Medicago truncatula: one gene and its partners. The main gene of each other region encodes a partner of the protein of the gene in region 2 in a complex. Links are inferred from orthologs where the notes say so. Each region holds a gene or a part of one and is shown on either strand. Other genes may lie near its edges.

Region 1 (7,169 bases), on a different chromosome or scaffold from region 2:
AAAATTGCGTCTCGGTCAAAATTTTGATCCGTTATTGATCCGTTATATTTACAGTAAATAAAACATGTATGCATCTATTATAATTACAGTTTTGAAACAGCATATCTGCGCAATGATTCAGAACTTGTTGAACAACTTTGTCAGGTATGTGTTAATTTACCATATATGCTTGCAAGGTAGAAGTACAGATTTGTGTTAACAAAGAAACTATACCATGGTAGAGTTAACATGTGCTCCCATCTTGGTTTTGCTACTGGTGAACTTGAGGAGTGGAACCAAAGCAAAGGGAAGCTCAAATGATAGGATCATCTTATCAGCAAACAAAGAAGGGCTTTAGCATAAATCAGTTCTGTTCTAAACAAAAATGAATGCATACACCAAAACAGGAGCAACAAAAATGATGTTGCATTGACAGATATTTTTGTTAGAGAATAAATCTATGCTTATGTAACTTCATTTTGGTTCTCAGCCCATAAAACAGCATATCTTCATACGAAGCTAAACAGTGCAGTTATGAACAGTGGCGGCCACAGGGCAGTTGAGTTGCAAATATACGAGAAACTTCCATGATATCATAACATGAAAATTTAAACAATGTATTGTTTATAACATGTACATATTCTCAAGTGAAAAGCATTAGAAGATATTTTAGGACTAAAACAACTCGATTAAAATTGATGGCAAGGATATTTTACAGATGCAATTATTACCAGCTTCCAACCCCAGTAGAGCCACCAATGACCGCAACAATCAAACTAGGAACTATCGCTAAGCAAGGAGTTAACATATTCCGAATCCAAGGCATCAGTCGTAAATCAAGAAATCCCTAAAAAAAGGAAATGATTCATAGGGGGGAAAATAGAAACATCATGAGGTAATAGTTGCTTCAAAGTGGTCACTATGCAAGTGAACCTTAGCAAAATTAAGAAAAACTGCTGAACTCAAAGCTCATTAAGGACACGTGTTGCTACTATTAAATTTTATAAAGAATATGACAGATTGACAGGTATCGTATGTTGAACATAAAAATACCCAACACAATGGTTCATGATAGCATTCATAATTTAATTTGAGGAATTAATGCATTATAATTGAGGCTCCATACCTTATTTTAAAATAAAGATCACAAATCCTGACTTTAAGTTAAAATCAATTCAAATCAATGTCACTCAATCATGTCAAAACCAATTATATATGATTAGAATCACCTTTCACTCTCCCTAACATGAAAACAAACAGATACTAAAGCAAACAAACAAGTCTAGAATATAAAATTTATATCCCAATTTGAAACCAGAACTAACTACAATCTATATCCCAATTTATATCTTATTAAAAGCACACAGAAATAATTACAAGGTTAGTACCTAATACCAGTAGCACAACATGAAGAAACTCTGATAAGAACTGATTTTACACAAATTGGTTGACTCAAAATAATGCTTATTAGAAAATCATATTCCAATCACATCAAGGGGTGTCCAACAAATAACAGCTAAGCATAACCATGCAAGCCTCAAGCCTCAGATAAGCACCAGAGGACTTCAGTCGTGCGACGTTCATTTGTTTATCATCTCATTGCCAATAGATTAGCACTAGCACAAGCAGAGGACTTCAGTCATGTGAGGTTTCCATCAATGTACTTGACTGAAAATAGGGGACAATAACACTCTTCTTCACTGTACTTGAGGACCTCAAATATGGTTGAACATAGAAGTATGAAGTTAAGTACTGATATTAGTTAGCACATCAAGTAGATAACTCCGAGCTGGTTGTAATAGTTAGTTTATTACCTAGCGATTAGCATTAACCAACCTCAACCCACCATTTTTATCTTCACAATGCTTCATGTGATGAAAAAGGGAAGTAAAATCAGTTGTTAGGTTGGCCCTGCAATCATACTTGGGAGGGTAATGGAAACAAGGCTCCATGGACTTGGCTCGTTGACAAGGTGGATTTGGGATGGTTTCCCCATATGCCCTGTGCAGAATCCATGGCTTCAAACCTCCAAGACTATGAGCAACATACCCAAAAGTAGACTTGGGGCTTGTAATCAATGCATCACATAAACTCAGTAGATATATTTCAGTCCATGCTTTAATATTGTGTGTGTCATTATTTGATTTTTGACGCCCTTCGTGACTTGGCTGATAAACTTTTATTACCTCCCCGGTTACAGTTGTATTTGCCTTATATATAGTCTTCAGCTGCTCACCATATTCGGAATATAGAGAAGCCACTAGAACAGCTTTTGGTGTCTGCTTCTTCAAAAAAGATTTTGCTGTCTTCTGCACGTTCAATTCGGGCAACAACTTATGCTGAAGACTGCAAGCTATAATTTCATTGACGATGGTGCGATGTGGTACTTGGTGAGGGTTATACACTCTAATCTGCAATCCAATTTTCTCATTTGCCTTGGCTAAGTGTGTCTCATAGAACCTGCTAATTAGTTCCCATGCCTCATTGGAAGGGTGAAAAAGGTAACGTCCCAAATGGTGAAAAACAGTGTCTTTCTCGGGAAACAATTTGCTTAGTTCTTGGCTAAATGAAGGAATTATAAAAAGAGAAGGGACAAAATATTGATCCGACCGCAAAATTAGAACAGGAACTTTCTGGAGAAGAGCTTGACTCTGATCACAGTGAAAATAGTTGTTATGACCGTCATGGGTGTGCTGTAAATTAAGAATGAGAAATTGTGGCAAAAGCTCCTTTGATCTGTTTTTCTTGCTATTCATTAGCATGCTTTCATAGGTTTCAATATGTTTCTGATCTTTCCAATAAGGAAAGTTCCTGGGCAATAACCACGAGGAATCAGGAAAAGGCTCACAAAAGAGACCAAACATGTCAGCGCCAAATTTGACAAGTAGAACCCGGTCCGTAAGAATAGCATAAAGAAACGCTGCCGCCAAGGTTATCATCCTGTTCCCCAATCCATTGGAAGCTGTCCATACAAGGTATTTGCACTTTGTATCGGCATCACCTTTGCTAAATTTTGGACCCTTTGTCATGATTTTGCTGTATGGTTTGGTATTTGGTCCACAACTTCTATGAAGATGTTCATAGTTTCGTAGCTTGGATAACAGATATGCAGAAGGTTTATAAGGGGAAGCTTTGCGGTATAAGTGAGATTTAAATCTACTTAAGCATGATGCTTCATCAAATGTGGAAACTAGTAGTCCATCAAGAAATCGGTCATTAGCAGAAGCTAGAGAATGATGCTTCTTTTGGTGTTCAAGTGAATCATATTTTGGACCTGTAGTGTGGAAATAAAATATGCATCATACACAATTCTATATGAAATTGAAGTCCACAATTCTACACGAAAGTGAATGAAACCATCTTAGTGTTCATTTTACCAACATAAGCAATAGAAGGTTGCTAAGTATGATAAATGTAAAATAATTTTGAAATTAACAGAAAGAACAAAGAATAATTCTATAAATGTGGAGTAATTTTGTCTAACCTTTATTACCAATATCTGAGATTTTATGTGTCTGAGGAGGTTGTTGAGATTGAAAGATCCGAGCAGGCATAAGATTTTGATATTTGTCTCCCAACACCTTATCTAACAACACAAATTAGACACATAAAAATGTTAGAAACATAAATAGCATTGAGGTAAAGACACTGATACGGACACAGAGACACTGACACCAATAATAATAGAATGTAATAAATAACATGTGTTATGTAGATGCTTGAGAGATTGACAAGAAGAAGAAGAAGAAGAAGAAGAATAGGTGATTCAAAAGTAACAATGGTCTTACCTACCGATGAGTTAGTAACAACATTTTGAGGTGTTTGTTTGAAGACAGTAACAGTAACAGTAGTAGCATTGATGTTGGAAAATCCATCAACAAAATTGAAGATTGAGTTGTTTTGGTGAATGAGAATGAATATGAGTGATGATATAGAGAAGGTTATGAAACCCAGAATCAATAATGAACTGAATCTCTTTAACATCTTGAACCGAAAAGATTCCCAGGAAACAAATCTCTCTTAGTTTTAACTGTATCAACATCTCTCTCTCTCTCTCTGTGACCAATTATTATTATTATTATTATTAATTACCAAATTTACCCATTTGTACATTACCATAATACCCCTAAAAATAATTAGGAAAACCCTATTAGGTCTTGTCTTCATTCATTCATTCAGCAGCACCCAAAACAAAAGCTATGAAGCTCATCGACATCAATGGAACCACTATTTCTCTTTCACTCTACACTGATGTCACCAATTCAAAGTTAGTCTTTCTCTTCATCTCTCTTTTTACCAATTGTGGGCGCCGTTTTAACGACTTGTATCTTCTTGATGTTTTGAAGCTTTTTTGCACTTCTGGTGCAATTAGCAGTTTAATGAATATGCTGTAAATTCTACAGTAATGTCACCTTTAAATTAATATTAAAGTAAAGGAATTTTTACCAACTTGTTAGAATTACTTCATATCTGAATCGAGTTTTCATGAAACTGCTAGCCACTCTTTGGGATGGATCATATTGATTGCTTGAAGCTCTTAAGCATGTGTATTTGTTATGAACAGCTTTTGAGTTGTTCATAAATGGACTAAGAGAATAAAAACTATAACTAACTACTCTGAACATTAACTTCATTCTTTTTTCTTTTTTTGCCCATTAGTATTATTTGCATGTGCAAATGTGGTTATATTATTCGTAATTGTATGTACAAATCTTTCTGTACCTTTACACATTGGAATTGAAATCTTCCTTTCTTTTTCTTCTATTGTACAATTCAATTTGAAACCAAAAAATCATACACCTCCTTCAGTTCCAATTGAAGCCTAATAACTAGAGGAACGTATAGTGCTTGATGCTTCCTCAGTTCCAATTTCCATTCCATCATGTTGATCTATGAAGTCAATCATCTGATTAGTAGCTTCCTCAGTCCCCAGGCGGTTATGTCCGGATAAAATTTCTTTTACGACCAAAATAATCTTGGGAAGATTCTCATGATAACTTCCAAATAGGTGTTCATCTGACCTTTGTACCAATTTAGAAAACAGCCCATGTGCATATCTAGCTTCCTTGAAATCATGCTTCAGTGGCAAGAAGTATAACCATCTTTTAACCCCCGTAGGGCCGGTACTGTCACGGTGAAATTCACAGATTCTTCCAAGAGCTGCAACTGCGGTATCACATAATGTTTTTACATTTCCATCTACATATAGTTCACTAGTTGAAAGTCTTTTACTGATGACCTTACTAGATGTAAGATACCCGCACTAACAGAAGCTTTAAATTGATCTCCTCCAAACATAGCACAGATACCAATCGCCCATGTAGCATGCAGCTGGGCACAAGGATAATTTTTCTCTAAAACAAGACAGGAGATAAAAATATATCTGTTATGATACCAAAAACATGGCAACATTTGACATGAGGTCATTAACAGGTAGCATGAGTTGGTCTTCAAATTTTTGAATCGCTGTTGCTGTTAAGTTGACTACTTCCTCAATTGTTTCTTACACTGACAAAGATCTAAATACATCCTCCGAGGTCCCCGCCTCTTGTGCTTTCTCTATTTCAAATTTAATAATCCTTCTTATTGTATCGTTTATCTCGTCATTAACAATCTTGATCAATTGATCAGTGAAAAATGAACTAGAGGTCTGAATGCATCTGCCAAGTAACCTCAATACTAATGTAGACAAATCCCTATCAATTTCCGTCTTCAGCACTTGAGTCAGAGCTTGCACAATGATGAAAGTTGTATCTCTTTTAGTGTCATTACTTTTGTCACTTGCTATAACTAAAATAGAAGCCTTGCGAATTTCAGAACTAGAACAACCAAGCAAACATATAAACATTGGAGTGACCTTGGCAATGTGGGGGAAAACGTATAAACATTGTATTACAAGCCTGGGCTCTCATAGTTTCAACCAAACGCTTGTCCTCGTTGCTTAGGCTATCATCCTTGGACTCCTCGCCCGTTAAGTTAAGAAGGGGCTGAGCACATGCAATCAACATTGGCATAATTTTATCTATAAATTTGTCAACACTCACTTTTGGGCATTGACAGATTTGATCCAAAGCCTTTAAAATGATACATTTTGTTAAGTATTCTGTATTGCTCAATTTTCCATCAAGTGATATTAGAGATTCCACCACCTGAACAGCTTCCCGCTCTTTGAAATCATCTGGCCCAACTTTCCTAACAAGATAAACCATGCATTCTTGACATTTGGCACAGATCAACAATTTGGGTAAACTATACTTATTGGACAAAATAGCTTTCAATGCTTCCATTGTTGTATCGTAATGAATCGGATATTTTGTCAAAGCCACAATTTTTTACCAAGCAACGAAGGGCAATAAGAGCATATTTGATGGCAATAAGCCACCTGAACTAGTTCTCCAAGAACTTGAGATATTGAGAACGCAGTAATAGTTCCTTACATTCACTCAAACACAATTTTTGAATTTTTAAACTTTTATTGTGTTGTTTTTGCTGTGAATTGAAGAATTTAGCTCTTTTATTTTATTTTATATAACAAATCTCGTGTTTTTTATGGATGTACCCCGTACCTTAATATTTTTAAAATTGTCGTATTCTCGTATATGTAACTATGCAACATAGGATAACTATCAACGAGGTCATGTTCTGTACGTAGTTATGTTTGGATCAAAGTTACAACACTTTTTCACTTCTTTGTTATGGCACTATGGTAAGTGGTTATCAGGGTGCATGCTTGTTTTTTAGTGGCCATCAAATATTGCTATTCAGTATTACAAGGGATCGCTTAATCTCAAAATTCAGTTTAACCGTAATTAGAGTTTAATTTGTTTCTTTTTACCAGTGTCGTCATAACTATTCACAATATTTGGTCCTGGTTGTCCTTTTACAACAATTCATTTGCAATCAATTGCATTTCGTATGTCGATTCCTCCTAATCAAGTAGGCGATTGCAAATAAAATTCTATTTATCATCACATAAAACAATCTGTAAAAGTAGATATACATAATACATTATGAAAATACTGTTATTGATCCATGATATTAGGAACCAGCTCTTAGCGGAAGTATATTATGTAACTATGTTTCTTGCAGGGAACTATTGGAAAGTATGCAAGCTGGGACATTGGAGCCAGAAGTTGCATTCCTCAATGCTTCACTTGTATAATTTCTTATGTTTGTGCTTTATGTCATGT
Region 2 (7,825 bases):
AAATTTATCCAATAAAAATTAGTTTTTTAAATTAAAAAAGATCGATCAATAACCAAGTGATTGAAACCAATAAACTTTAGTTTTCACGAATTGTCAGAGCGAACCTGAGTTCGAATTCTGGTTGGAACAATCCTTGCCAGGTCCGGAATCTGGTGACCAGATTAGCAAGACTATCTTCTCCTCGCAACCTAAGAGTTACGATGAAAGATCAATCCATTCAGTCACTCAATCAACATATCTATTTAGTACACATCCATCAAAACCAATGAAAAAAACTTACATGTTGATTTGAATAGTCTCTTTTTGCATCAAGATAAGTATAAAATGTTTCGAATTATAGTGGTAAATTTGGAAAAAAGAACTAAATTGACCAACATTGTTCAATTTAATTCACTAAATTGACAGATTCTTACAATTACAATGTCTAAAATGTTGATTTGCTCATTCTATTTTGCCACAGCTGGATTATTTACTATATTGACGAAAATAATTCATTTTTTTAAGGTTGTTTTCTTCACAAATTCTGGGACAGAAGCCAATGAGTTAGCTTTGATGATGGCAAGACTGTACACTGGCTGCCATGATATCATTTCCATTAGAAATGGTTACCATGGCAATGCAACCTCAACTATGGGTGTCACTGCGCAGTTTTATCACAAGTTTAATGTTGTACAGGTGACACTTTTTCTTTTATAATAATGGTATATTTTGTGTGAAACAATTCTTGTTTAAATCTTCTATAGCATCAATTAAGTTCACAAAAACGACTGCATTGTTGTTTTGCTGAGATGTCGGTAATTCATAATGATGCCTTTGTAATTTTAATTCTCGCCAAAAAAAGTTTTCAAAAACAAAAATAACTACTAATTGCATCAATTTTTATCCTTGTTATTATTTCTATGACAGTAGACTGGAGTTCACCATGTCCTTAACCCAGATCCATACAGAGGAGTTTTTGGTTTGGATGGAGCGAAATATGCAAATGATGTTCAAGATATAATTAATCATGGAACTTGTGGTCATGTAGCTGGCTTTGTTGCTGAGGCCATTCAGGTAATACTGATATATGTCGTTTAATAATTGAGTTTAATTTTGATATGCGGTTAGTGTAAAAGTTCTACACTAGTTATCGTTAAAGGAAAACGTTTTTGATGATCCTACAATTCTGGTTGTTTGATAGTGTAAAAGATCTTTTAGTGTAACATAGAAATAAACATAATGGTACTTTCTCACTCTCATAATTTTGTAAAGGGGTTCATATTATTTAGTGAACGGTTCGTGCTTGACACAGGGAGTGGGTGGAGTGATAGAATTGGCTCCAGGTTACTTGCCTGCAGTTTATAGCATCATCAAAAAGGCAGGAGGTGTCTTTATAGCCGATGAGGTTCAGTCAGGTTTTGGTCGAACTGGTAGTCACTTTTGGGGCTTTGAGGCACATGGAATTGTCCCTGATATTGTAACATTGGCAAAGGTAACAACGCTTCTTTAGTAGTAAGCAGCATTGGTGAGTTTTCGACACCATTTGTCAGAGAAACCAATGAAACTTATAGCAACGACTTGGCACATATATGCAATCAGGCACGACACTCATGTGAATCATTAAGAGTACAACCTTTTAGATTCTGTGAACACAAACTATACAAGGCATGTACCATGATAATCAGCATTTCATGTCTAAATGCTGCTTGTGAGTATACACAATCTCTAATTTCATATAAGGATCAAGGAAATCTCGAATCTGTCTTCGCTAAGATTCCAAATGGACATTTTCTGTGGCTTAATATATCGAAATTTCCACTACTTAATGTATAACACTGTGTATATTACATGTAATTTCAGTACTACATATTTAATCCTGCAGTTTTATTTGGTGAACAACTATCAAGCCATCCTTCAATTACAGTGTCAGTACTGCATAACACTAGCTTTTTTGAACAATTGAACTAACTTGAATAATAATATGATATGTAACACCGACATTTCATATTGTTGGCATGTTTGGTGTTGGCACGTGTCATAGTCCGACACCGACACATGTACATTCAATTACTTTCATTTTCTAAAAATATTACCGGTGTGTACATGTCAGTATCAATGTCGTGTTTGTGCTAGTACTTCGTAGATAATTTGAAATTCTAGTGACACTGTTCGGAGAACATAACAATTGCCAATTGTTCATTACACCTCATGCCCTGCTAATCTTGGTTAATTCATTACATCTTTCTGTATTTTGTGAAATATTATTCATCGTCATCTCAGGGAATTGGTAATGGCGCACCTATTGGTGCAGTTGTAACAACTCCTGAGATTGCAAAAGTCCTGAAATATGCGTACTATTTTAGCACATTTGGAGGAAATCCTGTTTGTGCTGCAGCTGGATTAGCTGTTCTGAATGTAATTGAGAAGGATAAACTTCAGCAAAATGCATATGTTGTTGGATCATATTTAAAGGACCGCCTTAATTCACTAATGGAAAAGCATGAGAGTAAGCTTCTTCTTTTTTTTTTTTTTTTTTCCTTTCCATCTACAGTATGTTGCATCATGAGTAAAGAAATTTGGATTATGAATACTATTGCTAACATGTTTTCTTATGGCAGTAATTGGTGATGTAAGGGGAAGGGGAATGTTGCTTGGAGTTGAACTTGTGAAAGATAGGAAGCTGAAAACTCCTGTGAAAGATGAAAATATGCAGATCCTCGAACAGATGAAAGGTCTATTTCTATTGCTTCTATCCTAAGAATCACTGACATAGACACGACACAGATACTTCCTGACACGTTGAGACTACTAATAATTTGAGAAAATAAAATAACCAAATGTAGCCACATGTGTTTCCCTCGTGTCATACACTAACATGTGTCATACACTAGATGCGTCTTCAATCTGAAGCGTCGGTGCTGCATAGCTTCTATTTGGTTCAAAATATATTTTTTAAACAATAAAAACAAATTCATCTAGTAATTGCAATGATCCTTAAATGGCACACAAATGAGCATACATGATTTGTGTATCTGGTACAAACTATCAAAAATGTGTGACACAATTTTCTTAGCTAATATTAAGGTGTCATTATATTTCAGATATGGGAGTGCTAGTTGGGAAAGGTGGCTTCTATGGAAATGTTTTAAGGATCACACCCCCACTTTGCTTCAATAAGGAAGATGCAGGTTGATTGTCATAATCATCATCACCATTTTCTTTTGATTCCTAATACTCTATTTTGCTATTGTTATTTTTATTTGCTAATTTAGACTATTTACTTCATAATTGTAGATTTCCTAGTAGATGTGATGGACTACACAATGTCAAAGATGTGAAGCAAATGCAATACTAATGGATAAAGAACTTGTTCCAATTCTGACTCCATACTTGGAGGTCCTATATAAACCCTGATGTAAATCAATAATTGCACTTTTGGGGTTTATTTAATAAAAATGAAAAAATTATCATAAATATTATAGACTTGGAAATTTGAACAAGGTGAGAATATCTCCACAGTTGTTCATACATCAACTCTAGCACAACCGATCCGAGGATAAACTTAAGAGTCTGCTTGGGAGTAGGGAGTTTACGAGGAGAGGAGAGGATTTTGGGAAAAAAGATGGAAAATTTAAGGGCGTTGGAAGAGTTTACATTTCTTGGTAATAGAAAAATTTTTCAAAATATGTGTTGGAGGAGGTTTTTGAGAGTTTAAATAGTTTTTTTTGTTGGTAGTGAGAGTTTAAATAGTTTAATTCCAATATAAGATGTTACAACACTCTCATAATTAAAAATATATTAACATAAATAGATATTTATTTATCTTTCTCTACAAAAATGCTTTTTTAAACAAGGTGTAAGGTTTCTCTATATTTTCCTCTCATCCCCTCTTCCGAAAGTCCTTGCCTCCTCTCCTATCTAATTATCGAAGGGAATGATGACAATTCAACTTAGGGAAATGTTAACGAATACTCATGGGTACTCGACCCTTAAATGGTAACTTTTTATTAGAATATGTGTAATCAATATATTAGAATTCGAAGTATTTAACTTTTTTTATAAAATATCTTCTTTTTATTTAAATCCTTGTCACCAAGTGCTACTTGTGCTACGAGGACACCGGTTAACAAGTCCTTTCAATTTATGGAGCATCAATCAATCAATATGAGAGAATGACATACTTGTTGCCTCTGATTAATAGTTAGCATAAAAAATAGGGTTAAATATATTTTTGGTTCCTATAAATATATCAACTTTTCGTTTTAGTCCCTCTAAAATTTTCCTTCAACTTTTAGTCTCTATAAAATTTTCAATCACTACTTTTGGTCACTGTTTTTAAGTTAATTTTAGTATTTTTTTTTTTAATGGAATTGTACTGAAATGTGTAGATTATTGTAAAAATATTTCCCAAAAAAAATTAGAACTTTTTAATATGAATTTTTAACCATCAAAAATATAAAAATTCATATTAAATTCATGTTTTGGTAATAAATTCTAAATTTTTTTGGGAGAAATTCTTATAATATTATGAATTTTTCTGCAAAATTTCATTCAAAAATATAAATTCTACATGTAAGTTTACTTTAAATGAGAGACTAAAAGTGAAGATGAAATTTTTTTGAAGAACTTAAAGTTGAAGGAAAATTTTAGAGGGACTAAAACAAAAAGTTGATATATTTATAAGGACCAAAAATATATTTAAATATTAATATAACACTAGATAAATAAATAAAAATTTAAATATCTTTTCACTTCATATAAATATATAACTTTTTGTTTTAGCCTAACAATTTTTTTATATATAATTTTTTGTATCAATTTTTTTTTCTTCGAATTTTAGTCGCCAAAAGTTTCTCATCTTCCTTTTTTTTTTAAAGATTCATCTTTCCATTTATTGACCAATAGATTAAATTAAATAAAAAACTTAAAAATGGTCGAAATTTTGAGAAATTTGTAATTGAATTGAAGGAGTCACTGTTTTGTCAAACTTAAAAAGCTTTCTGTGTTTTCTTTTCTGCAACACGAACTGCACATCGTCGTCCGCCGCCATAAACGGTAAGATTGTCCGTCATGTTTTCCCTTTTTTATGTATTTCAACTGTTTTCCTATTTTACTTCAATTTCGTCGAATACAAAAGAAACTACTTTCACATTTTCTACTTTTTAATGTGCATATAAGCTGTTTGTTAAATGTTCTGTGTGAAACCCAAACTTGTTCAACTTCAATTAATACAAAATTCTTATATTTTACATTGAAGGGTTAAATTAAAGGAATTTCATATTATGGGGACTGAAACTGAGTCATCAGATAGCTCTCTCATTCTCATCAAGCAAGGAGCTGAAGCTGTAAGTTTAATTCACACTCATTGGATTTTCAGAATTAATTTAGCACATACCCATTATATAAAAAAATCAATTTTTTCTTGTTTTTTTTATGCACCCATCTTGTTAATTGAAAATTAATTCATGGGCTATGTTTAAAGTTTCAATCTTTCATTGTAGCAATGTTGTTAGGTAGCTGCTATAGCAGCATATACAGAATTTGAATTGAACAAGTTTCTATTATTTTGTGATATACTATTTAGTACAAAATGTTGTCAAATTGCGGCACTGTGACATTGTTGCATAGGGAAATTTGAACAAGCCGCTAGTTGATTGACAATACTGGTTTTGTGACTTTGAAGGAAATTGGATTTGTTATAGCTTATGGTTTTTTATATTGTTTTGTTGTTGTTGTAGAGGGTTTTTGAGACTTCTTTTGTGGGAAGAAGGTCTGTTGTCAAGGAGAGATTCTCAAAGAAGTACAGACATCCGACTTTGGATGCTAAGTTGACACTCAAGCGCTTAAATGCGGTACGCTCAGATTTAGATAACAGTTTCATTTTTATTTCTGATGAAGTTAGGTCGTGTTTGGATAAACTGCTTAATTGAACATATATCGTATAAGTGCTCATGTATAGCCTCTTTATGTAACAAAAATAAAATAAAGTCAGACTTCTTTTCTATAAGCCAGAAGTTGTTTTCATAAACTATGCTGCCTTGTTTATGGAAATAAGCTGAAAACAAGTTATAGATATGTCATGAGCTGTTTCCATAAACTCTTTGAAACAGTCTCATAAGTACTTATTCAGTAGATAAGTTATGTCTCATTGGATGTTTTCAATACTTTGTTCCGCCAATTGATTGCTGGAGTAGGAGGCGAGGTGCACAACAAAAGCAAGGCGACTCGGTGTTTGTACTCCTGTGCTGTATGCTGTGGATCCTGTATCACACACTTTAACATTTGAATTTGTTGAAGGACCTTCAGTCAAAGATGTATTTCTCGAATTCGGATCATGTGGTGTCAATGAAGAGCGCTTGGGAAAGATTGCATCCCAAATTGGTGATGTAATTGCGAAGTTACATGATGGTGGTCTTGTTCATGGCGATTTAACAACATCAAACATGTTACTAAAGAATGATACTGATCAGTTGGTGAGTTCATTCGTCTCTTAGGTCCTGGAATTAATATTTATTACATTTACTTAGTACAATATGAGAAATATCATTAACTTTTGTTGCTGCTGTGATGTGTATTTTGTGTAGGTTCTTATTGACTTTGGTTTAAGCTTCACTTCAACTCTACCAGAAGATAAAGCCGTCGATTTGTATGTTTTAGAAAGAGCCCTTGTTTCGATGCATTCTTCATGTGGTAATGTGGTAAGCCAACTTCTCATTTTCCCAATAGTCCTAAGGATATAAAAACAGGGTCTTATTTGTCTGTTATGGAAATTTAAATTGAAGTGCAAGTATATTTTAGTTCTCCAAGTTCGAGGTCTTACACTTTCCTTCCCTCAACTTTTGTGTAGAGGCTATCTGTCATGCTTGTGACTTTCTTCGACCCAAAAATCATTAAGAGGATAAAGCTTTTATTTATTTTCCTTTTTTATACTATTAGAATTTTATAGTTTGTGCACTTGAGGTTGATTTGAAATTTTGATAAAGAACTTTAGGACAAAGCATAATTATAAATTATCTATTTGTACTAAAGCTGATGATTTTAAATATCAATACCATGGGATATATCAAGAAGGTATTATTAACCATTTTCAATATCACCCTTATTTACCTGTATATATAACAAGACGAAATATTTTTAACAATAGATAATGCAAGGCAGATATATAACAAGACGAAATATTTTTAACAATAGATAATACAAAGCAGAGTAAGTACTCTGTTATTTAAGAAAGATTGGAAGACTTGTTCTGCTATAATATAGTTTCTGTACTGATATTGATTATTGAAATTTCTCTGGATAGATGGATCAGATACTTGCTGCTTACCGCAAATCATCGAAACAGTGGTCATCCACAATGAACAAGCTTGCAGACGGTATTGTCTTCCATCTAATATTTTTTAGTATTGAGACATTTTCTGTAATAGTACTTACCTCTGTACATTTTCACAACTTGTAGTGCGACAGAGAGGACGAAAGAGGACCATGGTTGGATGATTCTGAGTTTCATTTCGTTACTGTAGTAAAAAGAGGTGACAACCAATGAATGTTATCAACATAATTTATATGTATTTCTTATATGCACATCTCTTACAAATTAAAAATCACAACATTTGAACTTTGATTTTCATGTCCGACTTTTGTGTGTAACAAAAACTGAACTTTTCTGAGAGCTTATTTTTATATCTATACGTCAATGGTTCAAAGGTTATGCTTGTTACTATACTGGTTATTGGTTAAACCATCAATCTGTAAATAGTAGATTTCGAAGGTGAACAAATTTTAAAAATTGCTCTAGTATTGCTGTTTCAAGGCTTGAATCTATATCTCAGTTAAGTCTGTTCACGGT
Region 3 (7,861 bases), on a different chromosome or scaffold from region 2:
TAACTTGTTAGCATTTAGAAATCTCCCGCCTAACCTTGACTGTGGAATAGAAATAGAAACAGAAATCCTTTACATAATTAAAACAGACTATTTATATAGCTAACTGAAATTGACTATAATTGTGTGCACAAGGAAACTAGCGCACCTCAAGATTGAAAATCAAACGGTTTTGTCTGCCAGACTATTTGATTTTGCCAAATTTGCTTCTCTCCAGATTGCTTTGACTTCATCTGTTCGGAACCGCTGGGTGAATGTAGAATCCTCCAGTGCAGTCGACGCACCATGGGCAAATTCAAGGAGACCGGTATAAGCTATCATTGCACCATTATCAATGCAGTACCTATCATCAGTGGCAAACAACCTTCCACCACGTTCTGAGCACATTGTTCTCATCATTTCTTGCAAGCGTTCATTGCAACCTACACCCCCAACAATAAGAACATCTTTTGTGTCACAATGAGCCATGGCTCGCTCAGTTATCTCCACCAGCATGGCAAACAGTGTCTCCTACAGCATTATAGGAACTATCAACTCACAAATTTTCATTTATTTAATGAACACAACTGTACAAGATACCAGGAGGAAAAGGGATCAACACAAATAAAATTTACCTGCAGAGAGTAGCATAAGTCTGCAGGTGTGCACTCATTATTCTTTAGCTGTTCATTAGCAGTTGCTTCAATATAGCTCAATATTCCACTAAAAGATACATCCATCCCTTTGACAACATAAGGAAGGTCTATAAATTTCTCTCCTTTTTTCGCAAGCTGAAGGATAAGAAAACCATATAAGGCAACTTGAGACAGATCAACTCATGACAGCATTAGTCAGTTAAGCATGATAAAACATGACGAAACTATACATTTAGTTTTTTTTTTTTGGTTTATTATCATTTTGAACAGAAAATAAACATGCAAAAAACACGGGTCCTGTTTGGTTTGAGAGAGAACCATTTCTGTCTACATGTTTTTAATTTTTAACTACAAAACGGTCACTTTATTTTCATTTTATTTCCCGTTTTTTAAATGTTTGTTCAGATAGACAGCTAGACAGCTGAAGAGCAACAGTTTTTGTTTTCACATTTCCGTTGAACAATATGTCTTCGAAGATACGAAACAAGAGAAAACTAGTGGTAATTTGGTCATTAAAAGCAAAAAATAGATAACATTTTCGGAAATTCCAAAATGGATAAAACTAAGAAAATGCTGGTTTTGAGCTTGGAAAGGAAGAGGGAGATCTAATTAATCGCTGTCTAATTTGTACACTGCATAACAGAATCAAAAGAAGCATCGACTCTGGTATCAGAAATCCCAAGCTAAAGATGGTAATTACATTCAATTTCTTTATTTCAAGGCAAGACCAAACACATCATACTCCAAAGTTACAACCATTAATTACTACAAAATAACTCATTATAACATTAGTCAGCTAAGCATGGTAAAAAATGGCGAGACTATACATTCAGTGTTTTTTTTTTCATTTTTTTTAACGGTAAATAAACAGGGTAAAAAAAATTGGGGCCTGTTTGGTTTGAGAGAACCTTTTCGGTCCTCGTGTTCATAATTTCAATTACAAAACTACCACTTCATTTTCATTTTACTTCTCGTTTTCAAATATTTGTATGGATAGACAACTGAAGAACAACTACTTTTACTATGACTTTTTCAGTGCAAAATAAGACTTTAAAAACAATAAACAAAGTGAACACTAGTGGCTATTTTGTCATGAGTGATGAAAAGCAAAAATAGAAAACATTTCTGAAATAAAAGTCCCGAAAATGACTAAAAAGAAATTGCTGGGTCAGAGCTTGAAGAGGAACATCTAATTAATCCGTGTATAATCTGTACACTACATAACAGAATCAGAAGATACATCAACTCTGATATCAGAAATCCCAAAGAAAAGATGGTAATTACATTACATTCAATTTCTTTTTCCAAGGTAAGACGAAATAGATCATGCTCCCAAGTTACAACCCAACTCATGCAAAATTACAACAAAAAAAAAACGATCCAAATATCATACAGCAATCATAAACATTGTAAAATAGATAATTAGAAAAATCACCTGCTCAATGTTATAACCAGGACTAGGATCATTGGAAAGTGTCAAAACCCTAGCAAACCGATCCAAACAATTCCCAACAGCAATATCAATAGTCTCCCCAAAAATCCGATATCTTCCCTCACTATAAGCAATAACCTGAGTATTCCCACCACTAACATACAAAACAACAGGATCATCAGCACCAGTTACAACCCTACCCATTTCAATATGAGCCACACAATGATTCACACCAACAATCGGCTTCTTCCAAAGCAACGAAAGCACGCGAACAACAATAGCAGAAACTTGTAACGGAGCTCCCATGCCAGGACCCTTTGTGTAACAAATGCAGTCAATGTCTTGTGGAGTGATCTGTGCTGTTTCTAAAGCTGATTTGACAAGTGGAAGAATGTGTTGAAGATGATGTTGTGCTGTTTCTCTAGGTAGAAAACCTTGACCTGGTGGTGTTATATATGTGTGACGTGGATTTGAAAGAATTGTTCCATCTAGGGTTACTACACCAACACCTATTTTGTTTGCTGAACCTTCAAACCCTATTGCTATCATTTTCACTATCAAGAACAAATAACAAAACCATACAAAACATGAGAGTGAAACACCATGAACCAGAAACAAATAAAAAAGGTAGTTGAATTCAATGGCTTTTTGATTCCGCTTTAGAGTTATTTGGTAATAATAACTATCATCACTTCCACAACTAATTTTGAAATTGGGTTTGGAATCAGTGAAAGCGGAATCAACAGCCATCGAAGAAAGAAAGAGGAAAGGAAGTAGAAGATGAGAGAAAAGGGAACTAAACCTTAAGTCGACCTAAACCTCAAGGTATCGTCGGAGAGCGTCGGCGGAACGTGTACGGATGTGGTTGAAGCACGGCGCAGTGGCTGGGGGCGGCGGCGGTTGGTTAGAGGGGGAACGGCGACAACAACTGAAATGAAACTGATAGTGTCGTTTGTTTTCCTCAAGTTTTGGGATGGGAGGGTTTTGTTTTGTTTGAAGATTTCATTTTAGAGAAATGATATTTGAATGATTTCCGTGTAAATATTTAGTTTTTTTTTTTGTAAATTATAATTGTCGCATGAGTTGTTTACAATATTTAAGGAAGTCAAAAGTAGCATGTTTGTTTGCTTTGGTTTCAACAATATTTTGATTTTTAAAAAGTTAAATTTATCACTTTTCACCATTTTTCAATACTATATTTCTATTTTTATCCCCTTATTCAATGTCTCAAGGGCAATGGTTAGCATTATCCAATTCCGAAAAACATTAAATTGGGGGGGGGGGTAAAATTCCGAGTTTTAAAATAGGGGGTAAAATTCCGATTTAATCAAAATACGGGGGGCAAAACTGCACTTAAGCCTAAAATAAACATCCGATAGTTATCTATTAGATGTATAAAATGGAAATTTTTAAAAGGTGGTAGTTATCTACCGGATATACAAAATGAAAAATTTTAAAACGAACCTTTGGTGGTTATCTACCGGATGTACAAAATGAATTTTTTAAAATGAACATCCGTAATTATCTACATAATATGTTATTAAAGGCAATTTCATAATTTTAGAGGTTCACATCTTCTCGAACCTTTTGAAAAATTTTCTTCAACAAGAATATAATGTGAGACAAGTAAATGATAGAGTATGATTATTATCGTGCGGTTCAGTAAAATGTTTATATTGTTGGTGGTTGAGTTGTTGTTGATATGCTCTATCACTATGATGTTTATGGTTTATGAAATTTTAGGTCGAGTTAAAGTGACTCCATTTAAAATTGGGTTGGGTGATCATACTTTTTTGCCAATATGCTTAATATTTTTAAATACACAGCTTATTGTGATTTTTTTTTCATATACCATATGTTAAAATTCGAATACATTAGTCTTCCAAAAATTGAAGACAACTTATTATACAAATATACTGAAATTATACCTGAAAATTCTTAACTAATTCTCTTTTGAATATTTATTATAAAAACTTTTTTAAAGTTTTAGGAAAATATATATTTATTTATTGATAGTTTGTAATAGATCTAATAATCAGCTCATTTCCTTTATGATTGCGACTGCCAATTCGTCATAAGCAGTTTCCCAAGCAACACTCAACTCCTCACTCCATTTATCACCAACAACTTCTTTGATTGTTTTGAGCAATGCTTCTTTCACAACCTATAAAACAAAAATATCTTTAATTTTCTACACTCTTATGTTTATGAACATGACCTATAATATATGAAGTTATACATATTTTTATCAATGAAAATGTAATATGTCACACAAAAACATATTGAAATTGAACTTCATATGTTTTACGTTAATTATTTAAATTTATTATATATTGATGTGTTACCAAACAAGACATTCTCAGACATTTAAATTTAAGAAAGCATTTTTTATGATATTCATACCGTAAAATGAGGACCAACAACCCCCTTTTGGGTGTGAACAATCCCCAATGTGGAATCTCCCAATACAACTTCTCCTTTTGCTTGGAGTTGAACGGCAGCATCACGCACCTAAAAGTAAATATATATTATGAAATGATAGTTATAATAAGAAAAAATGTCAACAATAAAAAAGTTGAAATAATGTAATTGGATACAATTGTTTGAACTTTGAACCATGTCAAATTGTATTTTATCTAGAAAAATAGACATTCGCCATCAAATATTTTATTAGGGAAATTCATCATTAAATATTTATATTACATTGTTTTTAAATATTGAAAATAAAATATTATTCGAATATAGTATTGATTTTGGTATTTACATTATGAGTATTAACAAGGGTTTAGAGATTTCAATATGATAGATCAAAAGAAGAGCAAACAATGTTTTAGGTAATACCACAATTGTTGTTAATAATTTTTCTTCCTTAAATTTTCACATCATTCTATATGTATTTTATAATTTAAGTTGTATGTCTTTCTATTTGAATAGTATAACAATCTTTTGTTGTTTTTATATTCATATACAACAAAGCATGAATTCAACATTAATATTAAAAAGTGATTTGTTGACGACACTTCTTTCTTAATCATAACCATTGTTTGAGAAGTTGTAGGCATATGATGTATTAGTAGGTTAAAGTATACTTTGTTTTTTTGGATTAATGACCATGATTTTGTATTTTATGGTCTAAAATGTATTTTCTCTCTTGACAAATTTCATTTGTGTTTCCTTGTATAATATGAAAGTGCAAAAACTGTTATGATTGTTATGTAAAGGTGAGGCAAATTCAATAATTTGGTTAGAAAATCAAAATATAAAAAATTAGCATGATGAAAATGAAAAACGTAAAAAACTTGTGAGCGTCAGCTGTACTCACCATTCCAAAAACCTTCTCAGCGTGAGCATTAACACTAGGGTTATCTTGAGGTACCTCATTCGAGTCCTTTAGAAAAGAAAACATGCCTTTTGCTGCAGGTGCTTTATCCAATATACTATTTTAATAAAATCAATTAGAGATACTCATGTTTAAACCATCACTTGCTAAACATAATAGACAACAAATATATATATAGTCACACAAAATGAATACATATACCGAGGTCAAACTTACAAGGTGTAGAACAAAACACTATAGAAAGGAAGGTTTTGATTGAAGGTTTCCCATGAGCTACTAACCAAAGCCTCTTGTCTCTCAGTGAAACCCATATTTCTCTTTTTTCTCCTTCTTTTAATTTGAATTGGAGTTTTTGAATACTACAATTTTACAAACCATCAACTGTTTATATAGAAGGCTTGGTTAATGAATAATAAAGAGGTGGTAATTTGTTTTATTTTTTTTAATTATTGGTTTAGGTAATCTATTGGTCTTTAATTTAGAGGTGGCCATTGGCAATATTAAGAGACAATTGTCTTTTCAAAAACACCATCACATAAATTTTAATTAATTAAAGCAAATATAATTTTAAAAAATATATAAACATTTAATGGTCTCTTCCATTTTAAATTTTTTATGGAAGTTCCAATATTCATATATCTAATGTAATTATTAATCTGTTAAAAACTACTAGCAAATAGCAAATATTATTTAAAATACTTTTTTATTTAGTAAAATCTTTTTAGAACCTATTTTTAAAGAGTACGCACGAGTTGTTCAATGAGACCATATAAATTATTTAATTAATAATTTTTAAAAATATAATCAAAATTGGTTGTGTTAACATTCATTTTAAGAAATATCTAAAATAAATCATATTTTTTAATATATACATACATACATATGCATTACGTATGTCTTTATCCTTGGATGAAGTCGTTGAACATTGCACCATGGGATATTTTACATGCTTACTAGTAGATATTAATTTTTTAATGAGTTGCATTACATATTTTAGCTGAGAGAAAATGTTGTGTGTTTTCTTTGTTGATATTGATTATGAAAATATACCATAATTTTGTAAACATTGTTGATGTATTGGTCATTCGATTGATAAATGCAGTAAAATCCATGGCAAATCGAATGATCAACTGAAGATTGTGGAGAAGGTTGCACCCAGAAAACCTAATCCAAAATTTATCCCTAAACAGAAAACCCAATGATGAGAAAGTCCCTGATTATGAATCCTTGCATCTGGAATATAATCAAGAGAATGCAGATCGGAGAAAAGGTCATGGTCACTTATGAGGAATCAATAGCAATTGAAGAAGAAAATGCAGGCAATAGCAATAACATTGGTAACTATGTGTTTGCGGAGCATGATCAACATCAACATGAACAACGCACACCAAACCATTTCATTTGTACCGCTTAACTCGCATCAACCGTTCGACCTGACCCAAAATCCTTCGGCTCATACGATTCGGCCAGTTTGGGCCGAATATTATATTTTTGTCCCGCCCTTAGGTGAACGGACGAAAAATCCCCTGGCTCTATCAAACTCAAGTGAAATTACCATAATACCCTCAATTCATTTCTCCTCAACGAGACAGTAGCCTTCATCTTCTTCCTCTGTCTCGTGCCATATGTTTTCTCTATCTCTCTCTCTCTCTCTCTCTCACTATGTTTCGTCCGCATCTCTCTCTCTCTCTCTCTCTCCATCTCTCCCTGTTTAATTTGATATGTATCTCCCTCTCTCTCTGTTTGATCATCAGAATTCAGTTTTATAATCTCATTCTGGAAACATAATTCCATAACAAGCTCAAATAATAAAAAAATTATTATTAAAAATGTTTAGATCTAAAAGAATTTCAAAAATCAAAATTAGTGAACATTGATTACGAAGCAGTGAAGAAGAAGAACACACTTAGAGCATTTGGTTACGATTCAAATCCACTCACAATGTTCTTCTTCACTGCTTTGGAATTGGATTTGGATCGTAATAAAAATAAATCTAGAATTATTGCTCTGAGTGAAGAAGAAATCCATAAATCGACTCAAAATCCATAAATCAAAAAATGTTCTTCTTCAAATGCTCTTTAGAAATCCACTCGGAGCATTTGGATTTGTTATTTTTCTTTTTCAAAGCTCAAAGTTTTTCTTCATTGTTTTTTTTTATTACGATTCAAACAAAAAATTGTGAGTGAATTTAGATTAGGATTAGGTCATTACTTAATCAAATTTCAAAAATTTGAATCTAGATTGAAGTTTGTGAAAAACTATGAGTTATCGTGATAGTGTAGAAACGAAAGCGTTGATGTAGAAGAAATTGATATGATTTTTTTTTTTTAGTTTTTTGGAATTTTCTCTGAATTTTTTTAACTTTGGTATGAAGAAGATGAAGAGGAGGTGGAATGAAGATGAATAAAGGGTGTTATGGTCATTCCACATTTGTCTGTAATCATATTAGAGGAGAAG

Evidence for each region.
Region 1: the proteins of EKC/KEOPS complex subunit TP53RK (region 2) and EKC/KEOPS complex subunit Tprkb are in contact, whole or in part, in a cryo-EM structure (PDB 8K20), measured with the Arabidopsis thaliana proteins. The link is inferred for Medicago truncatula from reciprocal best matches to the Arabidopsis thaliana genes AT5G26110 and AT4G34412. Residues at the interface, in NP_001331017.1 of Arabidopsis thaliana: Thr27, Phe28, Ala29, Arg31, Asn58, Ala61, Arg62, Thr65, Arg68, Lys69, Leu70, Gly71, Val72, Cys73, Val76, Leu77, Tyr78, Ala79, Val80, Asp81, Thr82, Leu83, Leu84, Gln151; in NP_680763.2 of Arabidopsis thaliana: Asp7, Phe51, Leu54, Ala55, Gln58, Ile62, Arg66, Lys147, Thr149, Gln151, Glu152, Ile155, Ser156, Asp160, Val163, Cys164, Ala167, Ala168, Asp170, Ala171, Leu172.
Region 3: the proteins of EKC/KEOPS complex subunit TP53RK (region 2) and probable tRNA N6-adenosine threonylcarbamoyltransferase are in contact, whole or in part, in a cryo-EM structure (PDB 8K20), measured with the Arabidopsis thaliana proteins. The link is inferred for Medicago truncatula from reciprocal best matches to the Arabidopsis thaliana genes AT5G26110 and AT4G22720. Residues at the interface, in NP_001331017.1 of Arabidopsis thaliana: Ala19, Glu20, Lys41, Lys42, Tyr43, His45, Ile47, Leu48, Arg56, Gly158, Leu159, Val161, Asp168, Arg178, Arg218, Gly219, Lys221; in NP_194003.1 of Arabidopsis thaliana: Glu147, Arg149, Arg151, Phe194, Lys202, Gly203, Tyr235, Glu239, Ala243, Val246, Glu247, Glu250, Arg251, Ala254, Arg272, Met280, Glu283, Arg284, Arg329.

Annotation. Positions count from the first base shown.
Region 1 is NC_053049.1:46,416,679-46,423,847, reverse strand, and holds the start of EKC/KEOPS complex subunit Tprkb, read left to right. Parts: upstream 1-4,097; 5' UTR 4,098-4,178; coding exon 4,179-4,246; intron 4,247-7,068; coding exon 7,069-7,135; intron 7,136-7,169. Other genes in the region: probable fucosyltransferase 8, read right to left, coding at 1,794-3,253, 3,464-3,565, 3,768-3,963.
Region 2 is NC_053044.1:30,319,045-30,326,869, reverse strand, and holds EKC/KEOPS complex subunit TP53RK, read left to right. Parts: upstream 1-4,815; 5' UTR 4,816-5,034; intron 5,035-5,236; 5' UTR 5,237-5,261; coding exon 5,262-5,324; intron 5,325-5,717; coding exon 5,718-5,831; intron 5,832-6,173; coding exon 6,174-6,452; intron 6,453-6,563; coding exon 6,564-6,677; intron 6,678-7,279; coding exon 7,280-7,352; intron 7,353-7,435; coding exon 7,436-7,473; 3' UTR 7,474-7,696; downstream 7,697-7,825. Other genes in the region: alanine--glyoxylate aminotransferase 2 homolog 2, mitochondrial, read left to right, coding at 505-675, 910-1,053, 1,292-1,471, 2,260-2,485, 2,598-2,711, 3,081-3,167, 3,274-3,317.
Region 3 is NC_053042.1:44,678,548-44,686,408, forward strand, and holds the start of probable tRNA N6-adenosine threonylcarbamoyltransferase, read right to left. Parts: upstream 3,075-7,861; 5' UTR 2,867-3,074; intron 2,619-2,866; 5' UTR 2,614-2,618; coding exon 2,068-2,613; intron 768-2,067; coding exon 612-767; intron 508-611; coding exon 160-507; 3' UTR 146-159; intron 1-145. Other genes in the region: leghemoglobin 29, read right to left, coding at 4,100-4,228, 4,468-4,575, 5,387-5,501, 5,621-5,715.